Saccharomyces cerevisiae S288C: one gene and its partners. Changing the gene in region 3 together with the main gene of any one other region gives a genetic interaction. Each region holds a gene or a part of one and is shown on either strand. Other genes may lie near its edges.

Region 1 (3,079 bases), on a different chromosome or scaffold from region 3:
GATTCCGTGATAATGGCACCCGACGCACTCCACACAAAACATTCGATTTGGCCTGGAGTGTCGATGATGCAGTTTTGGAACTTGTCCTTCTTCTGTTCCACCAACCTAATAACTTGATCAATCTTGGTGCTGAACAAATTCAAACTGGTGACAATGGCACCGTTCGGACCTAGCTGGTAATTCTCCATCACTTTCTTGTATTTGATTGAGTCTCTGATATCGATGTTTGCACCATAGGGGACTCTCAATACTGCAGGATCAAGATTGATTACGTATGGTGGCGTTTTCTCTGCCCGCAAGTGGGAGTTTAACCTTTGCATGAAAGTTGTTTTACCGGATCCGGCCATACCAATACATATGATTGTGCTGAGACTCATTCTTGCTGTGTCGTTATTGCGTTTTGTAGTTGTTTGTGTGCGCTAGATGCTCTCATTGTATTCCTTGTTAAATAGAGCATCGCATTAAAATTTTTTTTTTTCACTTTCGCGAAGAAATTGCTTATGGAGCTATATAGAAACGGTAATAGCATAGGCTTCTAACATTATAGAATATATAGAAATAGAGCACTTACATATTCTTTTTGGCCTTATCACGGTTAGCGTAGATCATGGCAGTAAAAGGTTCTTCCCAACGAAGAGCGATCTTGTACATGAAGTAAACTACGGCAGAAACAACCAGCCCCGCAGGCTTTCCTTTGTAAAGGGCTATGCCCAAGAAGGACAAAGTGGAACCCTGGTACATGGGGTTGTTGGAAACGTTGAAGGGGAAGCCGGTGACTCTCTCATCCATCAGGATGCCGAAATAGTCACCCAAGTACGTCCCTGTGATACCCAGCTTGTACATGGAACTCAAAACAAGCACTTGCCCCAAACCAAAGAGAGCCACACCCAGCTTGGTCCAGTTCTCGCCCGTGATCAGAGAACACGTAGGCTGTTCACGCAATGCAGACTCGTACACCATGTCTCTGACGATACCTAGCGAAAATATGGTCGCCGCCAACATGTAACAGCCCTTTCTGGCCCCACCACACATCTTGGTGAGAGAATGCTTGTGGTATTCCATTCTTGCAACGATGTTCCAAAAGATAGGATTGAACATCGTGCACACAATGGCCAGCTGGAACTTGGAAGACTGTAAATCGACACTGTGGATGAGTTGCTGGATGATCTCTTGGACTGACTCCTTCATCGCTTGACTTGCGCTATTCTTGTTGTCTTCAATTGCTGTTTATGGCTCTGTCCAAGAACGTTCATGTTCTTCATATGTGTTCTCTTATAAAGACCCCTTATCCAGTGGTCATTGCAGTGGCAGTGGACAGAAACCAACGATGCATGTGTGGGTTTGCATATGAAGATTGAAAAGGCTTCTCATATTTCACAACCGGTGCAACTTTCCACATGCACTCTCATTGACACCTACCCTGGTCATCAAGGAAGCATGAACAACAAGGAAGTCGAATTATACGGCGGCGCCATCACTACTGTCGTCCCACCTGGGTTTATAGACGCTTCTACTCTAAGAGAAGTCCCCGATACACAGGAGGTGTACGTCAATTCCCGTCGCGATGAAGAAGAATTCGAAGATGGACTAGCCACCAATGAAAGCATTATCGTGGATCTCTTGGAGACGGTCGACAAGAGCGATCTGAAGGAGGCTTGGCAGTTCCACGTGGAAGACCTGACGGAGTTGAACGGGACCACCAAATGGGAAGCTTTACAAGAAGACACTGTTCAGCAAGGAACCAAGTTCACCGGACTCGTTATGGAAGTAGCAAATAAGTGGGGAAAACCAGATCTGGCACAGACCGTTGTCATCGGCGTAGCGTTGATCAGATTAACCCAGTTTGACACGGATGTGGTCATCTCCATTAATGTACCTTTGACAAAGGAGGAGGCGTCGCAAGCAAGCAACAAAGAGTTGCCTGCAAGATGTCATGCTGTTTACCAATTGTTGCAAGAAATGGTACGGAAGTTTCACGTTGTGGACACGTCGCTGTTTGCTTAATCTTTCAAATTTTAACCTTATGTTTATATTACCTTTTTATTTCTACTATATAGCGTATTACATGTTTTTTCCGATAAGTATAACGAAATTTCCCAGCAGCGAAGAAAGTGAAAAAATAACAGTGACCATAATGAACATTCCTCTCTTTCCATTTTGCACGTATTCTTGCAGAGAAGAGGCACTCTACTCGGAAGACAGCAGATAGATATATAGACTGTAGCGGTTAACGATGGCCAAAACAACAAAAAGAGCCTCCAGTTTCAGGAGGTTGATGATATTCGCCATAATAGCCCTCATCTCATTAGCATTTGGAGTTAGATACCTATTTCACAATTCTAATGCTACTGATTTACAAAAAATTCTGCAGAACTTGCCCAAAGAGATTTCCCAAAGCATTAATAGTGCCAACAATATTCAGAGTTCGGATTCTGATCTAGTTCAACATTTTGAGAGTTTGGCTCAGGAGATCAGACACCAACAGGAAGTTCAAGCAAAGCAATTTGATAAACAACGTAAGATCCTGGAAAAAAAAATCCAAGACTTGAAACAAACACCTCCGGAGGCCACCCTAAGAGAACGCATAGCTATGACTTTCCCCTACGATTCCCATGTCAAGTTCCCAGCATTTATTTGGCAAACTTGGTCCAATGATGAAGGTCCCGAGCGTGTTCAAGATATAAAGGGCATGTGGGAAAGCAAGAATCCGGGCTTTGCGCACGAAGTGTTGAACCATGACGTGATAAACGCACTAGTACACCACTACTTCTACTCCATACCGGAAATCCTAGAGACTTACGAAGCTCTGCCCTCCATCATCCTAAAGATAGATTTTTTCAAATACTTAATACTGTTAGTTCATGGAGGTGTTTATGCTGACATCGACACGTTCCCTGTTCAGCCAATTCCAAACTGGATTCCTGAAGAGTTGTCGCCATCCGACATTGGGTTGATAGTTGGAGTTGAGGAAGACGCTCAAAGAGCTGACTGGAGAACCAAGTATATCAGAAGACTTCAGTTTGGTACTTGGATTATACAAGCAAAACCTGGTCACCCTGTTTTGAGGGAAATCATTTCT
Region 2 (3,196 bases), on a different chromosome or scaffold from region 3:
AAAGGAATCAATTGGGAATCTGATAAAAAAAGGTACAAAAAAACCAAATACAATTATACACAGATAGCACCTCCACCATATTGGGAAAAGATGTATCCAGATGGATACAACGAGACGAATATTCCTGATATTCAGGATTGGGAAGAGTTCCAAAACTGGATGAGGCCAGGTGCTTTTGATAAAATTACAAAACTGATCAGAATCAATAAAAACGATACTTTGCCAGCGGGTGAATACCAGTTGGATATCGGTCTGCATTGGCCAGTATTGGAGTTTAATGGTAAGAAGGGAATCTACTTGACTCACGGTTCTCACCTTGGCGGTAGAAATCCATTTTTAGGTATAGTTTACCTGATTGGAGGCTGTATTTGTGCTGCCATGGCATTGATATTATTAACGTTTTGGCTCTTCGGCGGTAGAAAGATTGCTGATGCATCAAGTTTGTCATGGAATATGAAATAGAAAAGGAGTGATGGTTTTCTTTATTTTTAACCCTGTAAAATTTTTTTATTTTTTTATTTTTACTCTTATATATGTATATGTTTGTGTTTATTTCTGAATAAAAATTTATAAGAACCAAATTAAAACCGTTAATAGCCCACCCAAAATTGAAGTAAACGAACTCATACCTAGATGCTGGGCCTCATTATGCGAAACTGTTTTCTTTATTGCAGATTTAATAACGCCTACAGTACCGGTTAAAGTACCCATCCCAATAGACCCCACGGAGGGAGAAGCGACTGTTACGTACTGGGAGGAGAAACGCTGGACAAAAGTAGTTTGCACAGTGATAGTGTTGCCCTGTCTAACAACAGTGACCCACATGGACGTTGGCGCACGTGTGGTTGTGTAAGTGGAGGTTGTACCTTCAGTGATGGTAATGTATGAGTCAATAGATAGACTAGTGACAGCAGACACAGGAGGTTCTGTGAAGTCTGTGGAGGGGTCTGGCCTGGTGCCTGTTTCAGCTACTGCGCTCCCTGTCGATGTGGTCGTCTTTACACTGGAGGATGAACCAGACGAAGATACAGACGAGGACACAGACGAGGAGGCGGATGAAGTAGCACTGGTGCTAGAATGTGTGAACGTTTGAGTCAATGTAACTGTGGTACCCAAATCGTTTGTCGTGGTAACTGTAGATAAATACAGTCCCGAAGACAACGATGAAGTTGCGGTAGGAACAGTGGTGGTTGTCTTACCAGTAGATGAGGTAGAAGTCGTCGTGGTTGGTAGCATAGTGGCTCTGTTGACTGTCTGAGTAAGAGTGACGGTGGTTCCGACATCGTTAGTGGTAGTGAATACCGTAGTGAAGAAACCTGTTTGAGCGGTAGTTGTAGCAGCAGCAGCAGCGGTGGCAGGGTCCCATATTGTGGTCTCCGTAACCAGGGCCCCTGCGACATTTGTTACCACTGTAACCTGAGTTGTCACAGCTGCCATGACCGCAGCTGACCACAACGACAAAGAAAGTAGCAGCGTAGCGAATGAATGTAATAGCGTGCGACGCATCATTTTTTTTTTGATTGTCTTGCAGAAGTTGAAGAGGTCTTTACTGTAGCATATACAAGTGCTTAATTCTTGATTTTTATTTTCTTTTTTTCATAATACACGTTATAGAAAAAGCCCCATTCTCAGTTTATGAAAAAACGCGATATCACCATACACGCTGAGGTAGGGGGATACAAGGTGAAGAATGTACGCAATAAGGCGAAGTATATGGCACAATTGAGCAGTAAAAGTGTTAAAATATAGTGATATATATATATAAAATACGAGAGTACCAACTATTATGATCTTTTAATGCCCTCTTTCCGTTGAGATATTCATAATAGTAACCGTCACGGAACTGTCGCTTTATACGGTGAGGGGATTATTTAGTTCCTAATTTATATTAGATAAAGAAGATAATAAACATGAGGGATGCTGTAAATGAAAGTGAAATAACTGCTAGCTAGAAGAGCGGTAAGCAGCAATGGCCAAAAATAACCACATTTCTGCCAGTGGTAACAGTACCTCTGGAGACCATCGTCTTAAAGAGGAGGTTCTGACCCCAACTACATCTGCCTCGACTCCTCATAGAATATTTAGCGTGGACGATGATCCAAAGGAGATCCAAAACGATATCAGGTATCTTGAGGGTCTGCATGAAGGGTTGAAGTTCGCCCTGCATGCCAATAAATCCAAGCGATCTGTAAGCTCGCAATCACCAATCGTACATAGCAGCAACAACACGCTGCACCACCACGAGCACCAACAACACTTGCCGCCCACACTAGAGTCGCTATCCTCCAAGTCGCACTCTGTGCCAGACTTAAATACAGCTACTCCCAGCTCTCCGAAACGAATGCATTCATCTATCCGGGAATTACCTCATGATGACAATGATGACGAGGACGCCAATGATGACAGTCGGTTCATTATACACGACTCGCACGGCCATGATTTACTTATAGACGAGATCAATTGCCAGTCGCCTTCACACTTGGAAAACAATGACCAGGCGTCTAATGCTTCGTCCACAGAGTCATTCACTTTACGAGAAAGACAGGACGCCATCAACGAGACCCACCCCTTCGGTATCAGGATATGGAAGCCTGCTTTATATAAGAAACACCGTTCAGTTCAAAGAACCGCGGCGCAAGACATTCACGAGACTCAGTTGAAGACTATTACCTGGGAGGTGACTTGTTCCAATGTGCTATGGTTTATTTTGTTCGGTTTCCCCATTGCGATACTCTTCTACTCGGCGGCTATTGTGGTATTTTTACTAGGCGGCGGAGGACTGGTAACGAACTCTGCGAAGGAGTACTCCAAGTGTCTGTATAAACTCGCCAATTATTTCCTTTGGCCTTTTGGCAAAATGGTATACTTGTTGCAGGACGAGCAATATTTACAAGAAGATAAGGATGAAGGTATTAGTATGCAGCAATTCTACAATTGGGTGACTTCATACTCCAACAGGCTGGTCTTCCACCAGTCTCAGGCCAAGTTTCAGCAAAGAGAGGACCATCCGGCCCCTGCAACGGAATCTTCGTCTTTGATGCCGCCCGCTAACACAACAGCAACACCGCTTAACTCGAACCATCCATCATATAATTCTATTAGACACGAAATTCCGCACGCAGCGGCTCAAAGACGGTACTTTGGGAGAGGAAAATGGAGCTGGGGTCGTGTTCTTTTCTATACAATCTTCCATCTC
Region 3 (3,799 bases):
TTTCGCTGCGAAACAAGTCTTTACCAGTGTACAGAAAATATATCAACAATCCTAAAGAAAAATAATCGTTCTTAAAGGTTAGGGTATTCTCAAAAACAATTTCTGGGGCCGTATAATTCAATTGTAAATGCATAAATGGGGGAACTCTGGGATCATATTGAGGTAAGAAGTATTCAGAGGTATTTGTGCCTGGTGGTATTTTTACTAAATAGCCTAAGCCGGAAATTTTCCAATCAGAATTTTCATTGATAAATATTGCCCTAGGTTGAATGTTCAAGTGTACAAAGCTTGCGCGGTTATGAACAAAATCGAGTGCATTTACCAGTTGCAATATACCTCGCTGTACCACGATATTATCTTTAACATGACCTTGTAAGAAATTCTGCTCTTCATCATCGGTTTCTCTGAAAACGGTCTCCAATGAGCTAGTGACAAACTCGGTGACGAACATGAAATTCTTGCTATGTTCTTCTAATGGTTCAATTAAAGTCAGAATATTTGGGTGCTTGAGCTTGGCCAAGTTATTGGCCTGGTTTCTTAATATTTCGTACGCTTCTTGTATTAATACTTTATCTCTGGATCCAGATTTGGATTTAATAATACCATAGTGTAACAAATAGTTTTCGAACTGCTTCTTGTCAAACATGAATATCGATACTTTGGAAGGTGAAGATGAAGATGAAGATTTGGGACGACCGGTGTAAATGCTCCATGGTTCAGCTGTGAAAGTAGGTGATGATGAAAATGAATATTTTGACGTGATACCCGTCTTTGAGGACCAAAACATCATCCCTGCTCAATCAAAGTGTGTCCTATTTTCCTTAATGATACGATATTCGAAGTTACACTGTTTTGAATACTTTTGTGCGCTTTAATATGTGCAAGATTTATTTGTTTTGATATTAACTTCTTTTTGGCTTCTATTTTTTCAAGACTGCAGTACCCTTTTTTTCACGCAACTTCAGGTTCGAACCGAAGAATAGTTTAATTACGTTTAGTTTTCCTACTGAAACTTTTTTTTTAAAAGACCCTGAGAATTTCATCTCGAGAATAATGAAGACCAATATATAAGTAATGAATCATAAAAGTACAAGAGCAGGATCAAAGTTGAATGTCTCAACAACAGGACAAGAAAATGAGTGAAGAAGGAGCATATGTACGGGTGAGCATTTTTCTTGTATAAACATAAACTAGCTGAACATCAGCTCAATCGGACATAAAAATAAGTTTCCAATTAGACATGCACTTGAACTTGTAATTATTTATCGACCAAAAAGAGTAAGTTAATTTTCACATAATCTTGGAAAAGCCAGAAACAAGATTCGAGAGCTGGAGAATGGATGATGAATCAAGCAATGTTGAACAATCAAAATAATATAGGGTGTATAGGTGTTCACGTATTTCTCTTTATGTTTAGTGGGTGTGCCAAAAAGGACACTGAAAGGGTAAGAATAATAACTTAGCATATTGCTTTCGATATATAGATGTTAATCATACAAAGGCAAAAACAAAGCGTGAATCAGCATTTGTTAACAGACAATTGCAAGAAATGTCGCTGATCAGCATCCTGTCTCCCCTAATTACTTCCGAGGGCTTAGATTCAAGAATCAAACCTTCACCAAAAAAGGATGCCTCTACTACCACTAAGCCATCACTATGGAAAACTACTGAGTTCAAATTCTACTACATTGCATTTCTGGTCGTGGTTCCCTTGATGTTCTATGCTGGGTTACAAGCTAGTTCGCCCGAAAATCCAAACTATGCAAGATACGAACGTCTCCTATCTCAAGGTTGGTTATTTGGCAGAAAAGTAGACAATAGTGATTCTCAATATAGGTTTTTCAGGGACAATTTTGCGCTATTGTCAGTTTTAATGCTAGTCCACACTTCTATAAAACGCATTGTACTTTATTCAACAAATATCACTAAATTGAGGTTTGATCTGATATTTGGTTTGATCTTTTTAGTGGCCGCTCATGGTGTCAATTCGATAAGAATTTTAGCCCATATGCTAATTTTATATGCCATCGCCCATGTACTAAAGAACTTTAGAAGAATAGCCACCATCAGCATTTGGATTTATGGTATTTCTACGCTTTTTATTAACGACAACTTCAGAGCATATCCATTTGGTAATATTTGCTCTTTTTTAAGCCCATTGGACCATTGGTATAGAGGTATCATTCCAAGATGGGATGTCTTTTTCAATTTTACTCTTTTGAGAGTCTTAAGTTACAACTTGGACTTCTTAGAGAGGTGGGAGAATTTACAAAAGAAGAAAAGTCCATCCTATGAATCAAAAGAAGCTAAATCAGCCATTTTGCTCAATGAACGTGCTAGATTAACTGCTGCACACCCCATACAGGACTACAGCTTAATGAATTATATTGCATATGTTACTTACACGCCACTTTTCATTGCCGGCCCCATTATAACATTCAATGATTATGTTTACCAATCGAAACATACCTTGCCATCAATAAATTTCAAATTCATTTTTTACTATGCGGTGAGATTCGTTATTGCTCTCTTATCTATGGAGTTCATTTTACACTTTCTCCACGTTGTGGCAATCTCAAAAACCAAAGCGTGGGAAAATGACACACCTTTCCAGATTTCCATGATTGGCTTATTTAATTTGAATATTATTTGGCTAAAACTACTGATTCCGTGGAGGCTGTTTAGGCTGTGGGCTTTGCTAGACGGAATCGATACACCTGAAAATATGATCAGGTGTGTTGATAACAATTACAGTTCACTAGCATTCTGGAGAGCTTGGCATAGAAGCTACAATAAGTGGGTTGTCCGTTACATATATATTCCTCTAGGTGGTTCAAAAAATAGAGTTTTGACATCACTAGCAGTCTTTTCCTTCGTAGCTATATGGCATGACATCGAACTAAAGTTATTATTATGGGGTTGGCTAATAGTTTTGTTCCTCTTACCAGAAATTTTTGCTACCCAAATTTTCTCTCATTATACCGACGCAGTCTGGTACAGACACGTTTGCGCTGTCGGTGCTGTTTTCAACATATGGGTTATGATGATCGCTAATCTTTTTGGATTCTGCTTGGGCTCTGACGGTACTAAAAAATTACTAAGCGATATGTTCTGTACCGTATCTGGTTTCAAATTTGTAATTTTGGCAAGCGTTAGTTTATTCATCGCAGTACAAATAATGTTTGAAATCAGAGAAGAAGAAAAGAGGCACGGAATTTACCTAAAATGCTGAATGCCAAATTTACGAATATCAATTGTATAACACTGCTATCATGTATGTATTTTTATCTACTAGTACAAAAATGAAACCGAAAATAAATAAAAAAATATCGAGAGGAAGCGTGAAAAGCTAATGAACATATAATATGAAAATCTGCAGTATGATGGATAAAAATCCTCTCGAAAACTCAAATACGTTTTTTATATTCACCAGGCGTTTCAAATTTATTCTGGATCCACAGTCCCTTTTTTCTAGATCTTGCCAAAAATTCATAATATCGATACTTATCTTCTCTATCATCAAATTCTGTGTTTACTTTACCCTCATAAACAACCGCTAATCCATCCTTGAGCATTTCTAAGCTTAAGTCTTTCCACCCACCAAACCAGTCCCAGTATGACACTCGAGCTACACAACGGTTGTACTGATCTATAGATAAAGGCTTGACCCATACTTTCTTTCCCAAAATTCGGTTTTGTAACCAAATTAAAGCTTCATTACCAAACGGTTGAGCTGGGTTACCGAAATGTGCTCTTTCTGGGGCATCGATTCCACATAATCTTATAGGAATAGTTGGCA

The links.
Region 1: mutations in GUP1 (region 3) and OPI3 together harm fitness more than expected from each alone (negative genetic interaction), as found in Saccharomyces cerevisiae (6 studies listed by BioGRID).
Region 2: mutations in GUP1 (region 3) and KRE1 together harm fitness more than expected from each alone (negative genetic interaction), as found in Saccharomyces cerevisiae (5 studies listed by BioGRID, with this or other methods).

The regions. Positions count from the first base shown.
Region 1 is NC_001142.9:571,748-574,826, forward strand, and holds OPI3 (bifunctional phosphatidyl-N-methylethanolamine N-methyltransferase/phosphatidyl-N-dimethylethanolamine N-methyltransferase), read right to left. Parts: upstream 1,189-3,079; coding exon 568-1,188; downstream 1-567. Other genes in the region: GTPase NPA3, read right to left, coding at 1-377; Ran GTPase-binding protein MOG1, read left to right, coding at 1,348-2,004; HOC1 (alpha-1,6-mannosyltransferase), read left to right, coding at 2,234-3,079. UniProt on the Saccharomyces cerevisiae protein: Catalyzes the second two steps of the methylation pathway of phosphatidylcholine biosynthesis, the SAM-dependent methylation of phosphatidylmonomethylethanolamine (PMME) to phosphatidyldimethylethanolamine (PDME) and of PDME to phosphatidylcholine (PC).
Region 2 is NC_001146.8:32,727-35,922, forward strand, and holds KRE1 (Kre1p), read right to left. Parts: upstream 1,510-3,196; coding exon 568-1,509; downstream 1-567. Other genes in the region: LEM3 (Lem3p), read left to right, coding at 1-462; VNX1 (calcium/hydrogen antiporter), read left to right, coding at 1,970-3,196. UniProt on the Saccharomyces cerevisiae protein: Involved in a late stage of cell wall 1,6-beta-glucan synthesis and assembly.
Region 3 is NC_001139.9:350,049-353,847, reverse strand, and holds GUP1 (O-acyltransferase), read left to right. Parts: upstream 1-1,549; coding exon 1,550-3,232; downstream 3,233-3,799. Other genes in the region: SCY1 (Scy1p), read right to left, coding at 1-790; LCL3 (Lcl3p), read right to left, coding at 3,408-3,799. UniProt on the Saccharomyces cerevisiae protein: Membrane-bound O-acyltransferase involved in the remodeling of glycosylphosphatidylinositol (GPI) anchors. Acts only on GPI-anchored proteins, but not on free GPI lipids.